Linked DNA regions of Arabidopsis thaliana. The protein of the gene in region 1 interacts with the protein of each later gene in a pairwise test. Each region holds a gene or a part of one and is shown on either strand. Other genes may lie near its edges.

What was found. Proteins that work in one complex are often made in the same cells at the same time.
Region 2: the proteins of AT5G27810 (region 1) and AT1G76590 interact in a two-hybrid assay, tested with the Arabidopsis thaliana proteins (one large-scale study listed by BioGRID).

The regions. Positions count from the first base shown.
Region 1 is NC_003076.8:9,853,405-9,857,398, forward strand, and holds AT5G27810 (MADS-box transcription factor family protein), read left to right. Parts: upstream 1-2,266; 5' UTR 2,267-2,422; coding exon 2,423-2,782; 3' UTR 2,783-3,054; downstream 3,055-3,994.
Region 2 is NC_003070.9:28,738,785-28,743,200, forward strand, and holds AT1G76590 (PLATZ transcription factor family protein), read left to right. Parts: upstream 1-1,755; 5' UTR 1,756-2,090; coding exon 2,091-2,093; intron 2,094-2,187; coding exon 2,188-2,397; intron 2,398-2,483; coding exon 2,484-2,699; intron 2,700-2,801; coding exon 2,802-3,110; 3' UTR 3,111-3,447; downstream 3,448-4,416.

The DNA.
Region 1 (3,994 bases):
ATAAGAAACCTTGATATATGTTTCAAAAAGCAAATTGAGGAGAGTGTAATAGTAATAATGTAAAACAAAAAGTTGAATAAACGATTTTGGCTCACGTCATTGTTATTAAAAATGTATGCATGCGTGAAAAATAAGTGTAGGGTAAAAAGAAGAAAGTTTGTTGAGGCAAAGTTGCCTTAGAAAGCGGGGGAATTTCTCTCTTTCACTCACTGACATTATGTCTTTGTGTACTCACTCTCAGTACCAGTTTATTAAAGTATAAATAAAATGATATTGATGAAGAGAAACAATATATATTACACGAAGATAAAAAGATAAATTACGTAAGTAATATACTAATATTGTCATATATTTATGGAGACATAAAAAACCAAAAAAAAAAGATCTTGAGGTGATGAAAACGAACTTTTTGCAAGCGTCGTTGTTGTAGGCATTGCGGATGACTTAAAAATAATCAAATAAACAAAGAGAATGATACGTTTTATTAAATCATACATATGTCTTAAGTTATATTTTAAAATTTTAAATCATAGCCTCAACGAAGTTTGAAAAGGGATTTCAATTAATTTTTGCAAAAAGTTAATAGCAAATAAGTTCAGAGAGATAGAAAATAAATGTATCATCCAAATAGAAGAAATATAAATAAAGAAGAAAAAATTGATGTTAAAAAAAAAAGTTAAGGAATAACCCGACCCGAACAACCCGGTTTAGCCAAAATCTCAGGACTAGAAAATAATCAAATATGCTGGCAAGGCCAATTCGGTCCCATTAATAACTTATACATTGAATATCATAACATTTTTTGTTTTTTTCTTTCACAAATTATAGGAAAAATGGGTAAAAAACCATCACCAAATATTGTGTAAATATTTTACTAAATTGCATAACAATTTATAAGTTCTTTATAATATACACCATTCACCACTTAGTTTATTCTAATTATCTACATATACATTTTTGCAGCCACTTTGTAAAATAAATCCTGGAGTTGGGATTTATTTACAGTGGCTGCCACTGACATTTAATAATTATTTTAGATAATTAGAAAGAAAATCTTCTAATTAAATATTTGACATTTAACAATCTTCTTAAAATCTTTCTACCTTAACTACACGATTAATTACTAAAATAAAACTTTCAAAATATTTAATATCATTTAATTACTACAAAATTATCATTTTTGATGTTGCTTTTCTGCATGATTATAATCATCAAATCGCAGAGATATTTGATAGCATGTAATTACTACAAAATTACAAAATATTTAGACAATAATTCATAAACATATCATAAATAAGGTCAACATTAATAAAATAAATGAGTTTTCTTTACAGGACAGGTTGGCGGGACGGGTTTGGCAGGACGTTACGTAATAATAATTATAAACTATAAAATAAAAATATTTTATAAATAGATACAATTTACAATATATATATTAATTTAAAAAATAAATTGTTCCCCCGATATACCGCGAGTTTAAATATAGTTTTATATACATTTTGCTAGACTGCGATCTTGTAATCTTCTGATAACATCACAAGTTGGATACAATTTTTTTTTTCTCATCATGTCTCTTCTAAATTTTATTCTTTTTTCGTTAACATTTTATCCTTCAACTTACCACCCTCGTTATACTTTTTTTTTTCATTTAAGAAATGTAGTTTAGTTTTACATGCCTTTACTTATGAAGTTTTTAAACTTTACGATGGGTATTGTAATTTTGCTAACCTATTTTTAATATATATATAAAATCAAGAGATTTAAAAACTGATTTCTTAAAGAATTATCTATATGGTAAATAGTTCATGATTAATTTACCAGTCAACAACCGAGATTCAATGTCTCCAGCAAGGGAAATAATCACAAAAATATTTTGAAACAAATCTTTGACTACCTTTTAATACCATATCTTATTAATCATCACAATATTTGAAAATTATATATATTATTAAATAATTATATTAGTTGCATCATGTTTAAATAACATTACCAGATTGATATTTATTGATGATTTTTGCTGTTAAAAACTAAATTTGCTAGCTAAACATTTTATCCTATTTTATTGTTTTGATGTTACCACTCTATAAATATTTGGACTATAGTTCTACATATGTCAATCAGTAGTGATAATACATGTAGTAAATAAGAAAAACGGTTATAATCTCTATCTTCAATCCATTCAGATTTTTTTTATAATGTTCATGCATTAAAGCTTGATTTGGAAGTTTATATTTTCTTGTATTAAAATAAAGATACCCTATATAACAAATATTTGTACCTTCTCAGTACTACATAATACTACACATTAACAATCTCAAAATATACAAAAAAACATTTTAATGACGAGAAATAAAATGAAACTTGCTTTCATTTCCAACGATTCTTCAAGAAAAGCAACTTTCAAAAAAGAAAGAAGGGGTTGATGAAGAAAGTACATGAACTCTCAACTCTATGTGGCATCACATCGTGTGCGATCATCTACAGTCCGTATGATACCAGTCATGAAGTGTGGCCATCAAATTCTGGTGTGCAAAGAGTGGTTTCCGAATTTAGGACACTCCCGGAAATGGATCAACACAAAAAGATGGTAGATCAAGAAGGTTTTCTCAAACAAAGGATCGCGAAACCGACAGAGAATTTGAGGAGACAAAGAAAGGACAATAAGGAGCTCGAGATGACTGAAGTCATGTTTCGATGCTTAATTGGAAACATGGAGATGCTTAAATCAGAATCACAATCAGAATCAACAACAATGGTTTATGAAAATGATGAACCATCTTGAGCAAATGAAGTATCCAGGAGAGCAAATGGCGTTTCAATTCATGGATGATAGCCAACACAACCACATCCACCGTCATCAACAAGAGCACCAACATCATATCCCTGGAGAATCTTCCATCGCTCTTGATGTCGGCAACTCAAGCGATATCGTACATAGTTCTTGTTCTAAGTATTTCCAATAATAAATGGTTTCGTTAGGATTTTATTTAATGTGGTATTACAATAATTTCGAGAATGGATTGATAAGTGAATTTATAATTAGCTTTCAGTTTTTTTGTCATGTAATAGATTGCATCACAATTTATGTTTTTATTGTTATCAGTTTGATGATGGTGATATTTTTCATTCTATTTTCACAATGATATGTTGTTTTTAAATTTAGAGATTTGTGATACTCTTATTTTTATTGTTTCATTTTTCCGTTTATGTGTTGTTTTTCAACATATGTCTTACCTTTATTAATTCTTTAATAACATTTTGAGCAGATTAGATTTAAGGTTTCTTTTCAATTTTAGAACTGTTGAGATTTTATATTTTTTCTTTCAAATATAAAATATGACAGCTCACATTTTAAAAAAGAAAATATTTTCGTTTAAAGTGTTAAGTACAAATATTATATAATATATAATCAATAATATACACTGAAATGTTAATGTACCTAACATATTGTAAACCATTTAAAATTCTTTTAAAAACTCTTGTAAACCCTTTAATATTATGTGAACCATTTTAAAAGTCTTGTGAACCTACAACTCAATTTACTGTTTTATTGTCTTTTAGGTTCATCTACTTTGTCTAGCTTAATATTAGTCATCATAAGTTTATTGTGTTAACAACGAGAGCTTAGTGGAATTTGACCCTTAAGTGCTAACAACGATCTCTTATTTGTGGGAGTAAGCATAAGGCAATTTGAGCTATATCAACTCCGAAGCAAAACAAACTACATTACAAAAACATTTTAATCATGACTATCAAAAAACAAAATCCTTTTAAGTATTTTATCAACACACACTTGAACTTTAAAATCATAATAAATTTATTTTTAACACCATCAATAATATTTTTTAACACCTTCTGACATATCAAATCAACTTGATCTAGTAGAGATTATATAAAACAAAAAATTATCATGCAGTATACTATTACTTAATGACAATCATGCATAAATTATTTGCAAACTTTTATATAAAATACATAATCATATTAAAATCAC
Region 2 (4,416 bases), on another chromosome or scaffold:
CTGAAGCTGTTTTCTCCTGTGTGTTTATTGTATCTCTGTAGAGTTGTGAACGTAGTTGAACATTGTTGTAAAATTGTAATGTAATACCTTTTTGGTTAATCCTACGTAAAAGTAGTATTAGCCACTACTTGCTAAACATTTTAAAGGGACATCTTAAAAAGTGAAGATGATTCTTCACAAATAAACCACAACGGTCACGTGAGTCTCGTGCTATTGACTACTATTGTTGAGGTCGGTCAACAGTGCATTGCCCCATCTTTACCTTCTTCTTCCCACATTTGTTTGGGATATTTTTCAATTTACTCACTTTATGAATACAAACAAAACAATAAAACTAATCTCTTTTGTGTGTAGTTGAAAGAGATAAGATCGCAGAAAAGAAGACGATGATTCGTCGACTTTTCTCCCAACATTTTGAACAATTAGTTGTTATGTGTAATTTTCTATAGATAGCTACTATCTGATTACGTGGATCACACTTCTCTTTTTATTATTATCTCTTTAGGTTTCTTATCCCATATAATATGATATCAGGTCTCTTTCTCGAGTAATACATTATATATCTATGTTGATTATTTACTACTTGTCATTTAAGATAAGATACTTAAAAATACTTGTTATTGGATTTTGCCGGAAGACTTAACTTTCAAACTCTATTATATGTAGAAGATAGCGGACTGAAAAATACGTCGAAGACAGATACTTCTATTGCATAATTTTTGGGTAGGGACTAGAAAACTTACTCGTAGTTTCGACATATCATCCGCAATCTCAAATTAATTGCAAACTTTTTGATCATATCTATTGAAACTATCTTTCTAGCTTCATTAATTCGTTACCAGCCCCCAATATAAGCTATCAAGTATGAATATTAAGATGGATTTAACGGTGATAATAGTAGTATGTACAGTTTCTTTTGTCAACAGCTGATAAAAAAAATGAAAGCTTCTAACAGTTTGAGCCTAAAGAGATCATATATGTGAACAGTTTCACACACACATAAGCCGTACAACTAATATAGATATCACTTTGACCGTAAAAATCTAACAGTTTAGATCACACACACACAATCTTGAAACTAGTTTAAAGCACTTTCAGCGAAAAGTACTCACTAGATGATAAGAACTCTTTGGCACGTAACAGACGCTTTCGAACCCTACGATTTCAAGAGGTGGCTTATGTACGGTCCACTCAACTTCTTCATCCGACGGTCTAAGATTGGTCATGTGGGTTGAACTACCAAAAGGGCCAAAAGCGTGAGCCACGTTACATTATAAAAGATTTTGTCTTTTTAATCCAACGGTTCACACCAGAATCTCCAATTCGGTTCTGTCTCCTCTCGTGTCGGTCCATCTCTCTGGCTCTTCACCTCTAGCCACGTGTTTCTAATTTTGACCTTTTAAAATTTTAAGAAAAAAACAAATTATTTCTTGTAGCTAAAATTTAGCATCCAAATTCCAAACTCAGAGTTCTCTTCTATGGCCGTATGATACTTCCAATAATCCGTATGTATGTGAATATCATAATCTATCACAAACATAATGAATAGTAGTAGATATTAAGACAATCAAATTTGGTAGAAAAAATATCTTCCTACGTTGGGAATTATGTAGGACCGAATAATATAGTCGGCTAATTCGATATTTTGTCGCGAACCACGACATAAAATTATTTATCATCATTTGTGAACAATAATGATTCAAAATTATCAATAACACCACCTTTTTTTTTTAAGTTCCTTTACTTCTGGGGTCTCTAGAGACCCACACATGTGCACAAAATATACGTGTGTCTCTCATAGACTTTAAAGCAAAATTAGAGAACACTTATTTTTAGCCAAAAAAAGTAATTAAAGAAAAAACTATATAAAAACAGTTTAAAAAGGGGATGATATTAAATGATTTTCATGTGAATTATAAAACGTATTGAGTATTATCGTGACCGACTTCAAAAAACAAGAAAAACCTCAACTTCTCTTTTTCAGCTATAGCCGCCGCCTCCTCCCACTAAACTCAAATCCTCTCATAGTCTTTTCAATCAAATCTGCTCTTCTTCACTGTTGAAGCTGGCTATCAAAACTCACAATAACTATGGTGATTGATTGATTCTCTTTCTTACTTAACTCTGTTTTAGTTTCTTTGCAAATTCTTATATTAACCATTTGGAACTGGTCTAAACATTCTTCAGGGACCGATGATGATGAGAGCAGAAGAAGATAACTACAATCTAAATCCTCCACCATGGCTAATCCCAATGCTAAGAGCAAACTACTTCATCCCTTGTTCAATCCACGCCGCTTCCAACAAAAGCGAGTGCAACATGTTCTGTCTTGACTGTTCTTCTGAGGCCTTTTGCTCTTACTGTTTGCTCAATCACAGAAACCATCGTGTCCTCCAGGTTCTTTCATCAACTTCAAATCATTTTTTTCTCTCTTACCAATTCACCCAACAGAGTTAAGAAAATGGGATTTTCATTACTTGCAGATACGGAGATCATCGTACCACAACGTTGTGAGAGTAAACGAGATTCAGAAGTACATAGACATATCTTGTGTTCAGACATATATAATCAACAGCGCAAGGATCGTTTTCTTGAACGAACGTCCTCAGCCAAGAATCGGCAAAGGAGTCACCAATACTTGTGAAATCTGTTGCAGAAGCCTTCTCGATTCTTTCCGTTTCTGCTCTCTCGGTTGCAAAGTAACTCTTCTTTCCTCTGTTTTCCTCTGTTTTGAATGAATATCTGAATTTGCTCTGTATAGTTGAAATGACCATATTGCCCTTTTGTTTGGTTTATTTCAGCTTGGAGGAATGAAGCGTGATCCAAGTCTAACCTTCTCTTTGAGAGGGAAGCATGGAAGAGAGTACGAAGGTGAGTGGGAATCTGATGAAGCGACTACACCAACTAAGATACGCAAGACATGTGCTTTCAACCGTCTGATGAGTGGTCTTTCCATCTCCACCGTTAAATGTGATTACTTGTCAGGAGATCAACCGTCTTCGAGCTCCGGTGATGAGAGCGGTTTTAAACTTTCTCCGGGGACACCGCCGATATATAATCACCGGAATTCAAGTAGACGGAAGGGCGTCCCACACCGTGCTCCTTTCTAAAATTAATACTAACGGAAGCTAATTATATAGTGTAGATTATAGAAAATGTGGTTGTTATGTTGTAACTAAATGGTTAGTAGTTTTTAACCTTTTGAGCTAGGAATATACATATTGTAAGACATATTACTTACAGGTATTGTTTGGTTTTTCTTTTTATAGTACATATAGAAATTAGGTATATACTGTACTCAAAGGGATTGAAATATGTTTTCATATAGTTTTTTTGCTGTAAATATACGTTTGAAGGAGGTATGTTTCTTCAACTTGTTTGTATCGTATACTGTGTACTATCTTCACAATAAAATAGCAAATATGATAACTAGGATTTTTAACTGAAGCGCTAATATTCGAAGAACTAAATTGTCAATGAGAATGATACAGACGAATAACGAGATTTAAAATAAGAAACTGTCGATCAAGACATGTATTAGTATTGTCAGAACACAAAAACATTGGTGATAAGCTGGGGCAAAAAACATTCTGGGTCTATCTATTTCAAGGAAAGGAGCTTCGACTCAAAAGAAGCTTATGTCATTAGAACTTAGAAGTCGATTGTTAACAACAGTTCAAATACTTCGTTTCCCTAAATTGGTTATCAAGTAGTTTCAACTTTAAACTCGTGCTATTAGAATTTTTTTTTTATTTTCGAACGATATAACGTGGTTCTTCGAAACAATACTTCGCTAAATCCTAATAACTTTCGGCATTTGAAATGCTCATGATGTCATGCATCTACCTTTTTTCCGTGGTTGCCTCACCTTTTAATGGTGTTTTGATGTTAAATTTTTTTATGTATAAGTTGTATTTTAGTTTTTTTTTTTTTTTTTGACTGACTTTTGGATCTAACCTATGATTTAAAGATCGGAGAGACCATTCTGATCTTTGTATCTGGCGGGTCTTGGGAGATGGTGGAAAAGAAAAACCTATGATTCGTCAAAGATGGTTGAAAGATGAAGAACTTGAATATGAAGGTTTTTTCGATTGGGACAAATAGATGAAAAATAAAGAAAACATAAATTACTATATGACCTTATAATATATCGAATGAAAGCAATATCATTCGACTCAGGTTTGTAATTTAGTGGTTTATGTTATACTGTTTCCATGTAATAATCTGAATTTTAATACGATCTAAAATCAAATATGTGTAAGTTGTTGATGAAAAATAGAAAATTCTAGAGTTTTATAATCTTACATGGCAGTAAAGCAAAATTTAGCAATATTGAAATCGTTCAGATTCGGGTTTACATATAGATTCAACTTGATCTCAACAAGATAGATTATGACATACAGCGTGAGATTTTTG